2 linked regions of the Lepisosteus oculatus genome follow. The protein of the gene in region 1 purifies or fractionates together with the protein of each later gene. This does not show direct contact. Links are inferred from orthologs where the notes say so. Each region holds a gene or a part of one and is shown on either strand. Other genes may lie near its edges.

Region 1 (10,361 bases):
AATGTCTGTGGGTTATTTCCATTTAATTAGTATGAAATATCTCATTACTATGAAATTAACTGTGGCTTCTGGAACCATTATTTGCCACAAAATATCCTGGTCGGCAGAGGTATCTTGTCTAAACCAGATGTTTCACCTAATGTCCACTAATTAACACTTAGCAAAAGAGACATGGAGGAATTTTCATATTTCCAAAATATTTTAAAAACACAGAAAAGTCATGACACCAAATCTTGAAATCACCAAAAATGCAGATTAAGAACATTTACAAAATAGGTTCTCTCTTCTCCATCTCTGTTAATGATCAGCTCTGATCACTTTCCGAGGAAAAACAACAACTTCCTTTTCTGTGACAAATAGTATTCACCCCTGACAATTACGGAGTTTGACATGTTGGGCCATATTTTCTAAACAACAACACCGGAAACTGCTCAAGCCCAGTACTGCATTTATGAGAACAGCATTCTTGTTATGAATAATAAATAGATCTTCTACCGCTTTCAGCCAAATATCCACTAAAAGAAGAGTCTGCTTGGTAGGGACGTGTGGATACTTAAGCTACAAATGAACAGCACGAACATAATTCAGTGCTTGGAAACGACAACATTGTTGTTCCACAGCCTATAAACAAAAACTTGATTCTCAGTGTATCTGCAATTCCCTTGAGTGACTGACTTTGCAGTCTCCATTTCCTGTTTAAAGCAAAACCTCTAAAGAAACCTACAAGTATCTGTTTTTGGTGACTTCATTCATAATCAAGCAAAATGCACTGCATACTTTCTTTTGAAATTTAAGGCTGCCACACCCAAATGTAAATTATTGCAGACAGTGTCACGAAGAGCTTTGATCTTAGCGTCAGTGATCGTTCAGCTCCACATTTACCTTTTCAAGACGACTGCATCTGCGCACAGCTAAATACACTTCAAGCTTTGAGATGTGAAGGTTAAGATCAATGAAGCTAAAAATGAAATGTTTTCAGGAGTGAAGGGGAAAATAGGTTAGCCTCAAAGAGCAGGTCCCCCACAAAGACCCCCAAACTGATTTTATTACATTACTGAATACTTTCTCTTCCAAAAAATATGCCTGCTACACTTCCACTAACCTGGGCCCTTTGATTCATCTGTGTGATCAATACTTAAGGCTAACTAAATCACCAAAATATCTGACTGTATTCAGTTTCTTGCTTTAGATAAGGCAACACTTAACTCCCATCATGTCAGGAGATGTTAGTCCACTCATGATTTGATGAACACACTGCTCCACAATGTTTCATAGCATCCATCGGTAAAGGACCATCTATTCAGTGATTCATGAGATGCTCTGCTTACACAGAACTAGTATTTTGCACATGAATTTGATAGTGTATAGGCGCAAGACAAAAATGGGTTTGCATCTAGCCCTACATCGGGGGAAATTACTGCAATCTCTAAATAAGTTCAAAGTCAGAGAAGGAATTTCAATCAATTTTTACTGAACTTGCCTTTGGCAAGCAAAAAGCACGGTGTCCCTAACTAGAGAAATTCCAAGTGCTTGTTCATTAATCATCAAAGGAAACGACAGATGTCGCAAAATAGCTGTAGCTCCTCGAACAGGAAGTTTCCACCACATCTGAACTACAATATCACCAAACCTGACTTTTCAGGCTGGGTCTTCTGCAGCCTTCACTCTGAACAGCACCACAAGTGGCTCATTTCCCACTACATAAGGCTAGGTAGGACTTCAGAAATAGTTGAAAACAGAAGTTCCCAGCCCTGGTCCTGGGCCCCACACAGCTGCTGATGTTTTGTTCCTGTTGGGCTCTCAGTTACATTACCGAGACCTTAATGAGCCTTATAAAAGAATATGCGATCTTAATAGTTTCACATTCCAAAACCTTGTTGAACGTTGCCTTTACAATCGTTGCGTGTCATACAGAACCTCCGATCTCCCCCTTCCTGAGTACAGACAGAAACTTGCAAGGTCTCAAATCACGCAACATTGAGTTCAATTAAGATTGTGTTTAAAAAACAAACAAAGCGGAAATGAGGAAGAGCCGAGCTGTGGATCTGTGAGACCAAGGATGAGAATCCCCGATTGAAAAAAAGTTTTAAAAAAGCTGCAAGGTGTATCATCTAGTACAGAGGCATCCAGTCCTGCTCCAGACTGGAGGAAACTCTGGGCCTTTTCAAAACCTGGAGACCTGGGAGCTGTAATACAGGTCCAATTGAGCTGATATCAAGGTGACTTACATTAGTGTGAACAATTGTAACTATTTACATTGACAGACACTATGTTAACATTCATTGACTCTTCCCTTTCGGAGCCAAAGTGAGGTTTAGCATCTTTCTTGACTTGGAGTTAACCCACATTCAACAGCTACGTTTCAGTGTCGAGAGTCCTACCTTTAGTTTATGCCAGGTTTTCCATCAATTAAAACAAAAGCTTTTTTATGTTTAAAAAAAAAAACATCTGGCTGGCTTGGAAACAACACAACGGCCTTTGTTGTTGTTGTTGTTGTTTTTTTTAATTCCAACCTGTTTCTTGTTTGTCTGGTACCCAGATGTTCTGCCATCTCTGTTCTGTACAGTGGAAAGGAAAATAATCCACACAAAAAATTTTGGATTCACTCTTTAGGATGCAAAGACTCCTCTGGTCCCTACTCCAGATTTGGGTGCAGGCCGAGTCCAATATCCCACCCTTTATCTACAGTAGGTGTTGGAGCAATGACTACGGCTCTGGCCTCTGGAAGGTTGTGGGTTTGAATCTTGGGAGGTACAGTGCTCAAGGTGCTTCACTTAGATTGAAACACCCTCCTGTACGAACAGATACATACACTTGTCACTTTGGATAAATGTGTCTGTTACATAAATTAGTCATAACACTGCTCTCTTTAGGATACTTAAAAATACATTGAATAACTGGAAACGGTAAGAATGCATTTGGTAGACCTGCACTTCTACAATATCGAATTTTAGTGAAGAACATAAGTGATATTCTGCGATTTCTGTTTTAGTTTAGATGTAAAACATAGTGCAAACCCATTCTAAAAACAAACAGCCCAAGGCTGTCTCAGGGTGCTTGCATTCAATCGCCGTATAAATAAAAAATTTTCATGTGTGTATCTTCAAGGCACACCCTACTTTATGCATCTAGGCCACAAATGATGAGAGCAATATTAAATGACAGCAGGCCTACAGCGGCTATGCACAACACACTGCAGATGCGAATTTTAACTTTCCATAGAGGACTTGATTTATTCTCTCTCCCTCCCCAGCAAAGAATACGGATGCAGAATTCACCCCGAGTTAAACGTGTTTCTTCTTAAAAAAATACTAATGAGATCTTGATCAATATCAAGTTCTTCACGATGTGACTTTCAAAAAAGTAAAGGGTCGCAATGGACATACTGTGTCAAACACCTTTCTACCACTAAAATATAGTTGGCTGTTCAGTTGTCAATTTACGCCAGACAATAAAACATCAACCTGTTTCCTGTCGGATAGAGGTTAACAGCTCATTTACCATGCTACTGAAACAAATAAAGTCACGTTGCCCTTATTTTGTTTCCATCCCTTACGCACTTTCGGTATTCAGTTTAGGACTAAGTAACACGCAGACACACGAGTCCACCCTTTCCAGATCTGCAGCACAGCGCTCTTTTAAAACGCTATATTTCAACCACATGACAACTACAGGGCCGTAAGCACCTTATCCCCGGCACAGTGTTACAGTTCCTTCGCTTTCGTCTTTGTTTCTTTTTGTACTTTCCAGATTTGACACAGACAGCTCTAATTTCGGGCCCTCCGCTCAGGCCTCTGGCATCCGCGGCTGTTAGTGGCGGCGCTTGCCTGCCCTGGGATGTCTGAAGTAGGGTGCACAGTGTTGTCCCGTCCCGGCCCCGGCCCATCCCCGCCTCCCCTTCCCTGCGCTCCCCGCCTCCTGTTTACTATATTGAGGCTGCAGCCCGGTTCCAAAAACACTCAGGGACTCACCCCTCTTATCGAGGTCGTACCCGACCACAACGAAGTAGTCGGCTAGCCTGGCCATGTCGGCGCTCTACGAGATCACGACGTCCGGCCCTTGCTTGTTCTCTTGTCGTTTTCCGTGACTCTCTTGTTCATACTCTGACAGCAGGAGCGACATCATCAGCAACTGCAGCAGCATCCTTCCAGCAGCGCCCCGCCGCCATACTGACACTGTTCTCGCCCTGACCGGGAGAACGCAGTGAGCCTGCGCGGCGAGGACCAGGGAGGGGCGCCTGGTCAAAACTGACAGATCAACACCCCAACCTTTGACTGCTTCCACGCACAGATCCCACAGATAAGCTCGCCGTTGGCTAATAACGCCAGTAGTCATAACAGATCATCCACACGAAGCTAGCACAGGAGGTTCCCTAATTATTGCACAGGAAGAGGTACACCTTATATAGAGCGTATTTCGTTATGTCAAAGTGACATTAACAGGTTCGTACCTTACCTATTTCTCATGGGAACATGTCATTTACAAACATAGGTGCGGTCTCTATAGTCATTGTTCTCCGATTCTTAATATTTCTTTGTACCGAGTTAAACCAGCTAATAGTCATACTGTGTAAGACTTTATGCTTTTATTGCAAGACAATATTAAGATAAGCAATTCAGTTAAAACAACCTCTTCCGAATTGAAACCAGTATATAAAACTATCCCAGTGTATTTTTTTTATTTTGTTATCTTGTTTGACATAAGCTGTATGACCCCAATTTTCCCTTTGTGTAGATTTCCCTCCTGATCAATATGTTAAGGAATGGGAAATTTGCCCACAGGGAAGATAAGACCATATGTACAGTATATTAAAAACCTCCCCAGGCTCACAGACTCTGAAATTGGTCCTTTGACTAGAATCCTTCGGTGCAGCATAGATTGATCACAGTGTTCTGGAATTGTAAAAACATCTCAACAAGAGTGCATTTCAGATTTGGTTAAAGTCCAGAATAAATCTTAAACAGAGCATAAATGAGCTGTTGACCCATAATTACCAAGTACTTTCTTTGCACACACTTAATTGGATTTGCTATAGATTTGCAAAATGAATAAATCTATGTTTTCCAGGTTAATTTGATTAATATAATGAACATTTTGTAGTTTACATCTGGTGCTATGAGCTTTACAGTCATGATTTCAAACATGATCTTTTTTGTACTTCTGTAATAGTAACAAATCATTTGCATGGATTGGTGGAGATTAAGTTTAGCTCAGCATGTGGAAAAACAGAATGGATCAATCACACACAACAGAGAAGGGAGATTAGCTAGAATAGACCTAGCTGATAATAAATCTGAATCTAAATGTGATTCAAAAGTGCAAATGAGGGTAGCTGCACATGAGCATGAAGCTCTGCATTCTTTACACCTACCCAAGTTTACTCATCACGTTCAAATTAATAAATGTCACAAACATCACGTTCATAGCAGCAAGAGAAGTGGTATTTCCAGTAGTAATAACAATACAGCAAAATATCACCAACAACAGCTAACACCTCTATGGAAACAATCAATATGCAAACATTTACTGAAGGATGATGTGTTTGGAAATCGACACAAACAAAACTTATGAATACGATGGAGCACTCAAAAAGGCTTGCAGCTTATTAAGGCAATTGTCTAAACCTTCTCAATGTAATTACAATTACACTCAAAGCACTTAGCTTATTTGTGCTTCAAACCAGCCCTGACAAACATTTCTGACTGCTCCTTTAACCCTTCACCTGAATTGGATTTCAAGAAAAGATTGTTAGGAAGGAAGAAAGATTATTCTTTCTTTGTCGAGAAGATCATACTACTTTTTAAACAGAGAACAGCTCTGCAGTCTCAGTCTAAGTATGTAACTTGCAAACCTTTCTTAACACCATACCTAAGGCACCTTGCAAAAGTATTTAGACCCTTGCAAAGCTGTCTCATTGTTTTGCTTTAAAAACTTGCAGTCATGATACTTACACAACTTGCTCCACATATTCAAAGCAAAACACAGAAAGTAATACAAAATAAGAAATATTACAGAAAAAAAATGAAATGTCATGATTGCATAAGTATTCAAATTCTGTGCTTTGGCAGATCTTAATTAATTTACGTTCACAAGATTACCAAGGCATAAAGTTAGTTGGCTGTCCTCTGTCTGCATGCAAAAATAATTATTCACATGGTTCCAGAATAAATACAACTGTAAGGTCATTCAGTCTAGCAGCAAATCTTCAAGCAAACGTTCAACCATGAAGACCTAGAAGCATTCAAAACAACTAAGGGATAATGTTATATAAAGGCACAGATCAGTAGAAGGGTATGAAAAAATGTCAAAGACCATTAATAGTTTGTGTTTGAACATGGTGAAGTGGATCATCAAGAAGCAGAAATGACATAGGTACTGTCTAGAATAAAGGTTTGCCCATCAAGCTAAGCAGTTGAGCAAAAAGGAAACAGGGAGGGGGGTAATACTGCAAAGCCAACTGCAACTTCTAAAAAATAAGAGAGTTTAGAGAGTGAAATAGGAGAAAATGTTCATGGGTCAACAACATCCCATTCATACAAGGGGGCTTGTAAGGAATCAAAAGAAATCTCATATCCCACATACAGCAAAGCGCCTAAGTGGATATTGCAAACATATGGCAAAAGGTTTTGTGGTCAGACAAGACAAAATTGGAACATTTTGGTTTAAGTACAAAGTGTGATATCTGATGCAAGCTCAACATTGTACATTACTCAGTCAGCATCATCTCTACAGAAATTATTTTAATGATTAATGAGAACATAGAGTAAAGTACTTAGAGGAAAACATGCTTTAGACTTTAAAAAAAAATACTTTCTGACAATGTAATGATCCAAAGCAGGCCAAAGTTACAAAAATAGGAATTAAGAATAAGAAAATGAATGCCTTTGAGGGACTGACTGACAATAGGATTCAATGTCCTGACTTGAATCCTATTGAGAATCTGGGGAAAGACTTAAAAAATAGCTGTCTATAAGCAATCTCCAATTAAATTAGGAGAGCTGGAGCAAATCTGCCAAGAAAAATGGGCAAAAATTGGACCTACTGGGTGTGCTAAGTTGGTAGAAACTTACCCAAAACGTCTTGTAGCTGTATTTGTTTCCTAAGGTGCTTCCGTCAAATACAGTTCACAGGTCTTAAGCAATTGATATTTCATGTTTCAGAAACAAAAAAAATCAGTTTTTGTTTCTAATTATCTTACCATTATATGTCTTCAGTGTCAGCATTCAGGTAATAAATAAAATCTTAAGTTTTAAACATATATATGCTACATTTTGTAATTTCACAGCATAGGACACCATAGGAAGGTTATTATTCAGGAAAATTGTCAGCAGCAATTGTATTTACATCAGTCAGAAGGATAAGCAACAAACAAAAAACTTTCTAAAGAAGTCTGATTAACATAAATTAACAAAAAATAGTGTTCTTGTTCACAGTTGTTTTATATATTGAGAAAGGTGACAATACCATGTAAAACATGTTAAGAGGATAAAACAATTACTACAATATCTATAGACAGGACAATATGTTCAGAACCATACTTGTACCAGAACGGAAATCTGATAACATCACAGTTCTTACTACAAATACCACCGTTGTTAGTTACGTGACCTGCATTAAGGATTTTGCATTTAATTAATGATTTAAAACTTAAATGGTAACCTTTCCCTTTAAAGCGCTCTTTGTCAAACTGACGTTGCCAGTTTAACATGAAGCCACATCATCTATTGCATGGCCTGTTGCTCACACTAAACAAACCACGAGTGCACATTCAGTCTGTCCTGATAAAATGGAATTCAGAAAACTTGGCACTGTCAACACAATCCACAGAAGAAGTTTGCAGGCTCAGAGCCAATAAAAGATAAGGAGTAAGCCACAGTCCTCAGTTCATTTTGCTGCAGCAAGCAGTTTCACAATAAAACCTCAAGTTTTCAGCTGGCGAAAAGGAAAAAATCAAAGGCCTTGCTGTCAAATTGTTATCACCAAACTGGCGTATCAAGTACTGTGGCTTAAAGAACAATTTAAATAGCTGGTCTTTACTATTTTTGTACATTTTACATCCGGTGAAACAGCATATAACCGCAACATACACTTGTTCACATATCACTAGAAGTGACAGCAAAAAGAAAAAATCGTAATGATTTGAGACACACAATCACTACGCCATGTTCCAGGAAAGCATTCTCCAGAATGTGATGTGACCTAAAATACAAATGTACTCCACTCTCAGAATTTATAATTATTTGTAATTTCTTATAAAAAATTATATGGTTGTAAGAGGATCTGAGTAACAGTTAGTAGAAGAGCATGAGAGATCACTTTATTAGCCATATACAATTTCTTGCATTAGGAATTTGTCTTTTCACATACCCCAGCTTGCTCACAGGCACAAACATAGGGAGAGAAGCTTGGGGCCAGAGCACAGGGTCAGCCATTTATACAGCACCCCTGGAGTAGCTGGGGTTAAGGGCCTTACTCAGGGGCTAAACAGAGCAGAATTCCTCTGTGGGTTGCAGGATTCGAACCAGCTACCTTCCAGCCACAGGCACAGATCCTTAGCCACAGTGCCACCACTCTGCCTGCTTTTTTTTAAGAGCAAGAGCGTGAGGCTCTGCCCTGTGATTCTTTATCACATTATATCAAAACTGTGGCTGTTGTTTTTTTAAATGGTTATGATAGCTTTGGATGGTAATGAAAAAAGCTTTGCCATATTGCTAATGAACCTGCTTTCTGCCTGGTTGTAATCCTGAGCCCATTTAATAAAAACATTTTTTAACTTGTTTTGTTCTCCACCAGAACTGTCCAACTTGTTTTTTTCACATCTGTGTCAAATGAACTAGACAACTAGACTTGAAGACGTTGAAGCGGGTCATATGGCAGAAGGAGGCTGCAAAAGCTTGCTGTTGAAGGAAAGCTTCAAGAATATGGCACCCTGTGTTTAAAGAGTATGACAGGAATCAGCCCTGTACAGGCCAGAATTGGCTGGATGATATCATCGCCTTAAAGAGCTACCTGTTACCACATAAGAAAGTTTTTTTTTTCCCCATCTATTATCTTTTAATAAGGAAAGAAACAGCTAGGATGATAGACTTTCAGGGGATTAGGTAGCCCAGTCAGATACAGGCAACACCCCAAGTGAAATTTCTTAAGACACGCTACTCATGGGAGTACAAGAATAGCGCTCTATCTGGGTCTTGAACCTACAACCTTCCACTTATAAGCCCCCCAGTCCTAACAACTGCTCTCACCTGAACAACTCATGAGGACAGTGGATTAATCCCAGTAGACATTTGCAGAGAAACTGAAGATGCCCAAGGAGGCAGACGAGAGAGCAGACTAGAGACCCTAGTGTGGGATGGTGACAAGAACCCAGAGTGAGCTACAGCAGAGAGGCCCTGACTTCTGACAGTGGTCTTCATATCAAAAGGGGGAGCTATTCATGTGGACCTGTGGACTTCAAAAGGGTGGGTGGGTATTTGTGTTTGGTTTTCCACATCTGTGAACTCTGGCTTGAGCATGTTCAATAGATTAGTACTATCTAGGGAGGGTTGTATCCCTTGCTGTCGTGGAGGATTGAATGGCTGTTGTTTTTATGAGACCAGTTCTGTCATGTAGACCTCCTCAGGGGCTTAACATCTGCTGACTCTATACGCTGTCATGCTGCTGTCATGGTTTTGACATCACTGAGTCATTGAAGGCTGGGCCTCCAGATGCAGTTCAGTCTGAGATCTTGTAGGTTACTAAGTGTTGTTCTTGTGGCTTGTTAGGGTAGCTGTTAATGAGGGCACCAGTGAGAGACAATATGAGAGGAATCAGTGGTACAAAGATGACATGACAGGAATGTAAATATACTCCTAAACAGCCTTTCTCATGCAGCACTTGACAGATCGACAGATGGACAGAGTCAGTGATCCACCACACCCACCTTTCCTGCGTTCAGGACTGAGAAAAGCCCTGTTTTGTTCTTCCATGAAAAGAATGAAAATACAAGGTTTTGTGCTGTCCTGTTTAAAATGTTTAATTAAAAAGGGTACAATGTAAAACAATATACTATTAATAACACACAGGAGCAACAGTGTTCACATGAGTCAGATGTAGACTAATTAAGAAATAAATTCTTAATTTGTGTTTACTTGTGTACAGAAACAAATGGAAAGTTGGTAAATTATTTAACCATATTGCTGTATTAACAAGTGAATGCTTGCGTCATGGATTATTAGATGTTAGAACATAATTGCAAATGTCTCAGTTTTCTTCCCATTGCATTTGCAGCAGACTTATTTTTCGTTAAAGATTTAAAGACTTAAAGTACATTTGCCTGGAGTAAGTTGAACATACTTGTCATTATACTTATGTGAGCATTC
Region 2 (10,698 bases), on another chromosome or scaffold:
TGACGTACGGTGACAAGGAAGCACAAGCCCGCAAGCCTACATTTCTCTGTCTGCAGATGAGGTACATGAGTTTCATTCTGTCACACAGCTGCTCTGCGACAGGAAAAGAGAAGACACACAGACACCGCATCTTTCATTTAGCACTAGCATGAGACAGGAAGGCTCTGCACACACTGCGTCAGTCTTACCCGCAAGTCCGGCATCCTTCCAACCTGTTAGTCAGAAACACAGCAGTTATGAACCTTCCTGATAAGACTGCAGAGCCCAGAACAAAGCAGTCGAGGAGATCTTAAATCCCAAGCAAGGCTGTCATCCCTAGCCTCTTTTTCCAATGCTACAGCTTAGAGAGGGCACTGAAGGCAACACTTCTGATTCGGCAAAAAAACCCAAACGTCTTAATATGTCTCATTATGTCTGCTATTAATACTATAGTTGCAGATTTTTTCAGGTTCTTTGAGGATCAAGAGCAATTACACCAAAGAAATGGGCACCAAATCATCTTGCTCATTTGCATTTTCTTTAGATTTTTATACAGCCATCATCAGTCCAGTGAAAAACCTAAATCTACTACCCATTAAAACCCCAAAGTACTAAATCTATTACCCAGTGTTCTTCAGCATGAGGCAAGTTAAACTGGTTAAGTCCAAAGTAACTAAATGTCAACCAGATAGTTCTCTCAAAACATCACCTGAGCGTTTCTCATTACTTAATGCCCAAAACACATGTGAAATTAATGATTAAAGAGGAAAAACTTTGAACCCCAACACATCTTCACCGTTTTTTTATTTTCCTAAAAAATACAATTTTATTTTTTTAAATACAGTAGTATTTTTCTCACGGTTATGTTCATCATTAAGTCTAAACGCCAGAGAACCACTGTTTTGCATCTGTATTTGCTCTGCAAACACAAAACAAAAGCTTGTTTTCTTATTTTAGTGCTTTGCTACTCCAGCCATCTATCCACCATCACAAATCATTTCAGAAAGTCAGCCCATCCTGGAAGGCAGAGCTACACTCTGAATGGAACTGCAGTGCATCACTGGGCGCACTCCCACCAAGACATAATATACAGACACTGATTACCCATGTGGGACACAGGTGGAACATGCAAACTCCCCACAGAAGGCAGCCCCGGCTGGAACCGAACACAGAACCCAGCAGCTCATAGGCTGCAGTGGTATCTACTGTGCCATCACACCTCCTTTATTTTTATATCTTAGGATATCATCAGCAATGAATGATAAAAAATGGAAAAGAAAACTGTCATGCAAAGCTGTTGGTAAAGGTAAGACATGCCTTGCATCCACTCTGGAGGAAGAAAGGGTAAAGGAAATAAAGAATAAAAGAATGAATGAACAGAATAAAACCGTTAACTTTCAAGATTCCAGAAGGAGTCATTTAGGGTTAAAGGAAACAGGTCTTATGAATCTACAAATCCGTAATTATCCAAATTCAATTCTGAAATTTCCAGATCAACAACAATAATGAGATTAACAACATGTAACATGTAATCGGGAAGCACATTTTACTTTATTAAGCACGTGAATCATATAATACTCAACTTCACATAATTCAAGGAGTGACAGTGTATGAGGGACAAACATTAAACACACTGAGTTTCTATCAAATCTATCAAATGAACTATGCAAGATCCAATCAGCCCCATCAATTACATTAAGAATCTGGCTGTCACACACTCCAGTGCACTGGTCTGATGGGCAGCTCATACCTTGTAATCCCGGGAGACGGGGTCAGAGGGCACGACACCAGAGATCTGACTGGAGATTGTGGCAGCGATCAGCTGTTTACACCATTCCACATGGGATCCTGTGGGGCTGCAATGAGAGATGGTTTTTATTATCACAGTAAGTGTCATGGGAGAGATTATAAGGTGAGATATTATATAGTAAACATTTCCAGCTTACTAAGAGCCAGGAGCTTACAAGACTCCCATTAAAACAGAATCATTCATGTTGGTTTCTAGCTGCCAGCTGCAGATGTTTCAGTCCTATTATCTAATTGTGTAAGAAAATGGCACACACGGATGTCTGGAGGTCTTGATTTTCCTGGCCTCTGACCTGCAAACAATCTTCGGCCAGAGTGAAAGGGCCAACTTCAAACCACCGACTTTCATCCCGGCTGACTCTCAGCTGCAGCCAGGCCCTGATGCAATCATGTGGTTTTCCCAAGCAGACAGAGCAGAACAGAGGTTCCAGGCAGTGAATGGACGCCTACTGACCCCCACACTGGCCTGCAGGCACCTAGCAGGCCCCACAGGTAGCTGCTGTGAAGAAATCACAAGCCAACTCTCTCCCCTTCCCAGTACTTTTTGTGACGTATCCTCTCGGCATAAACAGGACTGCAAGGACTGTGACAGGTATTTAGTCTATCCTAGACTGAATTATTCCATCTATTCATCCATCTTAAACAAGCAAAGGTGCCTTTTCCTTCTCTGTTGATTTTATTCATTCGGCCTCAAAACACACCACTTATGACAATTCTTTAACTTTAGTGTAGTTGTATTTGAAGTTGAGAGATTCCTACACTGGTATTGCAACATTCAATGACTGTCAGTACTGTATTCTTTTAAGCATTTAACTCCTATTCAATATTCAGTACTTTGCAGTCTGGCACTGCTATGGACCTAAATGCATACAAGAGCCTTCATTTCACAACTTCCTAACACAAATTATCTGAACCAAAGTGCTACTCAAACAAGTCAGATTGATATTTAGAGTGTTATCTGTTGTTAGAGTGTTGCTATCCACAAGTCCACACAGAAATATCACTACCTTGTAAATGTAACATGATCTTTACTAAAAATAATCAAAAGGGCAGATGTTATGGAGCAAGGATTTCTACTTACAGTACTAAGAATTGGCTGCAAATATTAACCCTCTAAGAAATACTAGCTTCAGAACAAACATCCTGAAGGACCCCAAAGAGTTTTACGTATAAGAGGGGACCCACTCCAATGCCAGATTGAATGAGGCGAAGACTAAGGAACAAATAGTGAAGTTGTCAGTTCGATGTCTCATTTAAAGCATAGCACTTCCTTAAGTAGTGTCTCCTGTCACCATACTGGGACACTGGATGGTAAATTCCACAACATAGAGAACAGCACCTCCTACTGGTCTACCAACACCACTTACAGCAACAATCAGTTTTATGTTTCAGAGGTCTCCTATTGAGATCTCAACACATACTGTAGGCAGCAAAGCACATTCTCTGTTAACACTTTCACCCACTTTTGTCAGTTGTCTAAATGTATCAAAACTTTTTTGCATATGAACATGAATTCAGGAGAAACTATTTACAGCCCCAGTTGAAATACAGTACATGGGTTTTGAACATTACAGGAACTTATCAAGTACTTCACAAAAGTCAAATCACTGTGAAAGGGTGATCCTTAACTCCTAGATCTTAGATCCAAAAATCCTTACGTGCTTGTCACGTTTCCACAAAACATCGACGCATTGACATAATTAATAAAAAAAAATGATGATTTGGGATGGCTTCATTAGGAAATACAGCCTTGGCATGAATCGAGCTTTAGTCCCGTATATTCTATTATCAGTGGCTGGACTGCTGACAGCAGACACTCGTACTTTCCCTTGTTCCAGATTATCAACTAGAGCAGTAAGGCATCACTTACTGTCGATCCTTGATTGCAAAAGACAGAGTCGACGAGCCCGACACACCCGGTATAGGAGACGGAGAAAATATTTCTCACCCTGCAGCCGTGCACCGAACAGACACGGTCTCCAAGCCATTGTGTATCCAATTCTTAATTTTTAAGCTCAACGGCCGTCTTGCTGCCCTTATAGGAGAAAGCAAAGCGCTGCCGAGTGTTGTGTATTTACCTGTCCAGAGTCTCCTCGCTGGGCTGCCTGGGACCGGGTCCCACGAGCGGACGCGCAGGCTTCCTAGAGGGCAGTGCCGGGGGAGCAGGGCTCTCCGCTCCGTAACTGCCTCCGCCTGGAACCTTTTCCATCCTTTGCCAGTTTCCTTCCTTCCTATTTTCCTAATGCAGGCTACGCTTTCCTAGTGCAATGGACGGATATGGGCGTCTTTTTTTTCCGGGCAAGCTACGCAAAGATTTCCTGTGTTTTTGTTCCAGTGACAGCGAACCGCTAGCGCCGAATCCAGGAAGCAGCCATACCCTCATGTCACTGCGATTACCCAGGATGCAACTGCGCGCTCGTCCCTGGCTCGCAGGGCCACAGCCGCCCCTCTCCGCCCGGACAGGGGCGCCGGGCAGCAGGTCCTCCTCTCTTCCAGACTGGCTTGAAAAAGAAAGCGCTCTTCCGCCGAGGCAGAGAAAGGTGGGTGGGAGCTGAAAAGAATTATCCTGTTCTCAGATGGTCGAGAGTGCGGGTGTAATCCCCAAAGCAACTTGGTGAGGTTGTACAGCGTGAATAGTAATCAGGTGTATTCCTATGTAAACAATATGGGAATAGCGTGGACCCCTGTGGAGTGTGTCAGAACTGAAAATATATTTGAAGAGGTTCTTAAAATGAAAGCATGTAATTCCTTTTTCATGTGATTTGCAAGAATCCGTTACTACCATCAAATCAAACCCTTAACGATAGCATGATTCTGTATCGGCAAGTTCTGTAACACACTTCCTATGAGAACACATTACACGTAAAAGAAAGACTGGTATCTTGCCATCAAATGAGTACAGTACCATGTCACTGTAGGTTTCATAATCATACCGGAGTGGGGTGGTGTATTTGGAGCTGTTTAATTTTTTATTTTTGACTGACACTTCATGTCATATTTTGCTTCCCTGTAGCAGAATGCGATCCATAGATAGATTAGACTTTATTGACCCCGAAGGGAGATTTATGTGTTACAGCAGTCCAGCCCATGACAAGCAATAAGATAAGAATAGACGAAACATTATACAAAATAAATACATAGGTGTGTGCAAAATATGATGATCATAGTCACTGTAAAAACAATAGAATATGTGCAAAATGTGCATAGGTTTATACAGATTGATTGTCCAAAAAGTATAATGGAGCAACATGCTGTCCATAGACAAGCAAATGAAGGGCTAACAGTCCTAGCCTAGGGCAGCGTTATACACCCAGACAACCACCGGGAGGAAAGACCTGCGGAAACGTTCCCTTGAACCCCCCAGGGTGATTTCGACAAGGTTAAAGGTATTAACCTCACAGTCACAAAATGCGTTTCAGTGTGAGATATTAGTTCAATAGAGACAGAGGTGCACTTCCTACTGCACTGTGACAGATACTCTGGGATTAGAGAAACATTCTTCCCGAAATTCAGAAATCTAATCCCAGAGTTCCCACACCTGCCAAAACCACAACAGGTCCCAATCCTACTGGGAGAGGGAGGAGGGAACTCAGTTGATCTGGCAGCCCAGTATGTGATCTCCTGTCACAGCCTGAGGAACAGTGAGTCCGTCTCCCAATAATGCTCCAGCTGCCTACAGTATGTCAATATTATATAATATGTCTTTGTTGTAAATGTCTGTAACATGTCTGTAGATTTTATTTTACTTCTATTTTTTGTTTTGTTCTATGTTAATTTTATTATTTTTATTTGCTTTGGCAACACTGACTGTACCCATCGGTCATGCTAATAAAGCACCTTGAATTGAATTGAATTGAATTATTAGTTCAACTGGGACATGGTCTTCGAGAGCTCTGTGTTCCTTTGGGTTTGACTGGAGTTTTAAATAACGCTGCATGTTCTTGTAAAAGCCTCTTGTTACAAGTGTGTCTCTAGTAAAACCACTACAAAGTAGAAGAGGTAGCTCTTGCATGAAGGGTCTCTGCGAGCGTCCAGTATGAAAGTGCAGGTATAGACTGTGCTTTCCACAATGTTAAACTCTCTGTTATCAAACAGCTCCACCTTACGGCGGCTCACAGTACCGAAGTCAAATTGAAAGGAGTTTTGTTGTCATGCCAAGTAGTCAAAATGCTGCCAAAGCAATAACAAAACCGTAATACAAATGCTAAAATTATATATATATATATTTAGATTTATCTTAAAAGTAATACGCAAAGAGAAAAATAACAGAAACAAACGAGACCGGTGAATCAGAAAAACTGAACTGAACATCAACCCATTATGTCAATTCAGTTCATCTCGGTGTCTCGGTTTCTCGGTCTCTCAGCCCCTGCACACTCAGGCTGTGACAGAGCCACATTCCGGGCAGGAAGTATATTACACCTAAGTGTCTGACCTTCCTCAGCAAAGTGCTTTCTTTGTGTCAGACCAGACAGATATGAGACTGTCACCAGGCTGTGGTCACAGTCTGTTTAGGGCCAGATAGTGCTTCAGGGTTTGTTTATTTTTTATTTGATCTCGGATATCAGATGGTAGGGACACCTCTGACATCTTAACATCTTTCTAATTAACCTTCAACAGATTAAACCGCCTCATGATCTACAGTTAATGCCCACTAGGAACAGGCTGGTCCTTCTGAAACATTTAAAGGCATCTGAGTGTACCATGGTCATATTAGAAATATACATATATTTACACTTTTGTTTCTTAAAACTGTACATAGACTAATAATTTTGTTTAGGTGCTCAGTGTAGAATAAAGGGCCCCTTGAATGGATTCTAGTTGTAAAAGATGGGTAACGGGAACTTTACCCAACTATTTTACGGTTAATATTATCGTCTGGGAGGGGGTTGTTTTTAACGCTCACTCCAGTGGCTTTATTAACAAATGTGTAGACAGAACCTTGAGTCGGCGGGTCGGGTCTCATTTTAATAAATTAATTCGGCAGTTTTTTGCAGTTGCCATCTTTATTTGCTTTAATCTGGAGCTACTGCCCCCTTTTATCAGAAGCGGTTGATCAAAATGGGGTCCCCCCGTTTTGCAGAAAACAGTGCCGACCTGTGTTTTGGGGTGTTCGAAGACGGGCGGAGCGCACCTCTCCAGCAGGGCGCGCAGGTGTCGCTGTTGCCTGCCCGCCTCTCTCTCTGCTGCGCCGGGGAGGGGACTGAGAGAGCAGGGCGGAAGCCTTCTGAGTGAGACTCACAAGAAAACGATGATTTAGAGCAAGAAAGTCTCCACCATGAATCTGAGGGGACTCTTCCAAGATTTTAATCCCAGGTAAAGAGAATTGAACGCTGTTCTTGTTCATGCAAACCTCTAAATGTGGCGTTATAGTTACTGATGGGGTAACAGGCCTCGTGTTAGACTAAAACAGCTTTCACTTGTTTTAACCTGTATTTTTAAGCATGTAAATGTAAATTCATGATGTGGTTTTGTTTTTCGGGGTTGATTGTGCTATCTAGCGAGAGTTTGTTTTCATTGAAAGATTATAAAGTACTTCAGCGGAGGAGTCATGCCCGAAAGCCCCGGACTAAAGTTGATGTTGCAACCCGAAGAATGCGGCTTCAAAGTCGGGAATAGTGGAGATCAAAACATGGAGCACATAGGCCAACTATTTTGTAGTAAATCCAGCAATTTATCTGCTTTTCTGTTTGCAACCGTTATTTTTTTTTTGAGTATATGGGCCTCAGTGACGATTGTTAATGCTACTAAACAGATTGGTAGAATATCGTGTTGTTTTCGATATTGTGGTTGCAGCTTGTGGAAGTGCTCTTCCTGTTTCGAAGCCGTCCGCACGGAAACACAAACGCCTACTAAAAATTACAGTGGGTCTTGAAGTTTGCAGAAGCAATTGCTTATCCGATGTAACCAGATTTTGTGTCGCTTAACACGTTTGGCGCCGCATAACACTTATTTCGTACTAGGTAGCAAGCTAAAACAAGAGAATGAAAATGTTTTTTTCAACAATATTTTTAGCGAGAATTATCGCTACCACAGATTAATTTCTCATTAGCCACAGACAGAATCGAAAACTCGTGATTTCTAGTGTGGTCCTCGTTTCACCAGTTTCACAAGCAGTTTGAATTTTGCACATAGTCTTATTTAATTCAGAATGGTGGCAGAAAAACAGTGACGTTAAGAATATGCCGGTTGTTAAATGGCGCTGTGATGGTTTGTCGCCAGTTGTTCATGGCACAAAAGTCTGAATTAGCTATCCCTGTGCTTTTCAGCAAATTCCTCATCTACTCCTGCCTGCTGCTGTTCTCCGTGTTGCTCTCCCTCCGGCTCGATGGAATCATCCAGTGGAGCTACTGGGCCGTCTTTGCACCCATATGGCTCTGGAAGCTCATGGTCATCATTGGTGCGTCGGTGGGCACAGGAGTGTGGGCCCGAAACCCACAGTACAGGTGAGCTAGCAGCTGCATGCTCTGCCTTTCCGAATGGAATTGTAGCTGCCTTAGTTAACAAATGTACCATCAACCTTCCAGACTGACATTAAGTGAGGGGACATTTCTGCTTTTGCCCCTTTTGGGGTCTTAAGAAAGCATGTTGTTGTTCTGCCTCCAGTTTCTTTCAGATGTGGTAAGTGTTTTTGTGGTCTTTTTCAACAGAGTTGCCCAGACCCGTTTAATGTAGATATAGGCCTGTGCTGTTGGCCTCCTGGTTTTTGAAAATATTATTATAATAGTATTATTTGATCTGTACACAACAGTGGTGTTAATATGCGCAGAAATGCCAGGGAAGTGGATTATTTTGGTGGCAGTGTTCATGTTATTCCTAATAGCTTAATTACATACAGTTTAACCATCAGCACTTAATCTTAAGTACCTTTTGACGTGTTAATGAAAAGTATGCAAATATATAGCATTGCAGTTCTTAAAGGAGTTGTATGTAATGAAAATGCACTAATTTTGCATACAGTGTTTTATGTTGAATTCTCTGTCTAATGATTGTAAAAGGTTGTTATTCAGTGATTTAGGGTGTAAGGTGCCTTGGATAAAAGCATCACCTAAATAATGAATAAACACAAGTTGTCTAACACTAAATATAAATAATGCAAGGAGAAGGGGGGCATCATGTTATCAGAATGTTACTGCTGGAGTTCTAGCACAGATTAGGGTGTGTAACATTACTAAGGCTCTGCCTAGCTGTGGGTGATTCCTAGATTTATGTATTTTGTAATCAAACCAAGCCTCCAGAATGCTGAAAAAGAACAACAGGAATGATCTATAGCTCCTGGCTAGAGGTGATTAAAGTATCAGCTACAGCCTCTGCAATGAGTGAAGTTGGGCCCTGGTGAAGCCTTGCGCTCGTGATCTCACAGGTCAGGTGACTGCAGCTCGTTGGCTGCACTGGACCTCATGTTGCCAGTGTGCCTGTCATGGCTTGTGAAGATGGTTATATCAGGTTGTGTTGTAGGATGCAGCAAATTACCAGACCTTGCACGTCAGCTGTTTCTGAGAAATGGCAAAGGCAGATCAATACCATAAACAAGGAAGTCTGACAAACAGTGTAGTTGCTACTTAACTAGGCTTTACTTAATAGCAGTAAGAGTTTGCTTTTTTTTTCTCTAATAAGTACATGTTTGTTTAGAGGTACGAAATTCAAGTACTGAAAATTACAGTAATCATCAGGCAAGTTGGTAGGCAAGTTGGTAGGCAACTTGGCTTGACTATGGAAACAATGTAGACACTTTGTTTGCTGAATCAGTTCTGTATTAAAATTGAAGACGGTAGAAAATTCCTGAAGGTACTCATGCAGAACTTGTATTGACTGCTCAGTCCTACCCTTCCACATCCTGTTTTAGGAACTCGGGAACAGAAGTATACTTTCAAAGCCAAATGCAATTTGTATTTACTTATGTAGAAGCTGTACGGTACAGCTTCAACATACGATGAAGACCTATTAACAGGAAGGTGGAGAATGTGGCCTAGGATCCATGTTGTTGCTGAGCTCAGGATTTCTCTGCCGTGGACAGTGCTTCTGATCATCTGTTTTGTTGCACTCCAATCTTTTGGTTGCCAAGACATAACTTCAGCTGTGGTAGCTGAGGCCATGATGAGTCACAAGGGGCGTTCATCACGCATGCTCGCAATGATCAGCATCAGCAGGTTGAGTAACATGATTTTGTCTGCAAAACCTCAGAAGTCCAGAGATCTCATTTGGAATCCGGGCTTTGCGTTTACTTGTCTGGGAGTTGGACTTCTTGCAAAGCTTTTGCTCAGATTTTATAGTGGGTTTTAATGCTGATGCTTTTCAAGGAGCTATTTCACAAACAAATGGCACCACGTCATATCCTCACAGCTGAGCTGTGAATGTCTCTTGGATTTAAAAAAAAAAAGACTGCTGGCATTTCTGATATCTAAAGGATTTCATAGCCAGAGAGGAGTCCAGGCATAAACCTTGACAGTGGTTGATTTTAAATGAAGATTAGCTACATATAATCAGCTTTATAATCTTGAAGAATGGTTGGTAAGAATGAGCTTGATGGCCAAGAACAGCATAATCTGCCACCCACTGGAGTTCATTAGCCTCATTCTGCCTCCTTTTGGGGTTTTGCTTTCTCTCCGTTTCACCTGAATGTCACCTGTGACGCTTTCCTTTCTCTCTCCCGGCGGGCAGGGCTGAAGGGGAGACCTGCGTGGAGTTCAAGGCCATGCTGATCGCAGTGGGCATTCACCTGCTGCTGCTGATGTTCGAGGTGCTGGTGTGCGACCGCATTGAGAGAGGGACTCACTTCTGGCTGTTGGTCTTCATGCCACTGTTCTTCGTGTCTCCAGTGTCAGTAGCGGCCTGTGTCTGGGGCTTCCGGCATGACCGCTCGCTGGAGGTCAGTAGTGGTCACCGTTATAAAAATGACCATGGCCAGTCAGT

Evidence for each region.
Region 2: the proteins of sbf1 (region 1) and mtmr1a purify together in Homo sapiens (affinity purification with mass spectrometry; 4 studies listed by BioGRID and IntAct, with this or other methods). This does not show direct contact. The link is inferred for Lepisosteus oculatus from reciprocal best matches to the Homo sapiens genes SBF1 and MTMR1.

The regions. Positions count from the first base shown.
Region 1 is NC_090702.1:12,869,960-12,880,320, reverse strand, and holds the start of sbf1 (myotubularin-related protein 5), read right to left. Parts: upstream 4,234-10,361; 5' UTR 4,027-4,233; coding exon 3,972-4,026; intron 1-3,971. UniProt on the Homo sapiens protein: Acts as an adapter for the phosphatase MTMR2 to regulate MTMR2 catalytic activity and subcellular location. Promotes the exchange of GDP to GTP, converting inactive GDP-bound Rab proteins into their active GTP-bound form.
Region 2 is NC_090703.1:40,997,654-41,008,351, reverse strand, and holds the start of mtmr1a (myotubularin-related protein 1), read right to left. Parts: upstream 3,995-10,698; coding exon 3,864-3,994; intron 1,836-3,863; coding exon 1,730-1,835; intron 213-1,729; coding exon 189-212; intron 1-188. Other genes in the region: tmem185 (transmembrane protein 185-like), read left to right, coding at 7,064-7,101, 8,055-8,231, 10,447-10,654. UniProt on the Homo sapiens protein: Lipid phosphatase that specifically dephosphorylates the D-3 position of phosphatidylinositol 3-phosphate, generating phosphatidylinositol. Could also dephosphorylate phosphatidylinositol 3,5-bisphosphate to produce phosphatidylinositol 5-phosphate.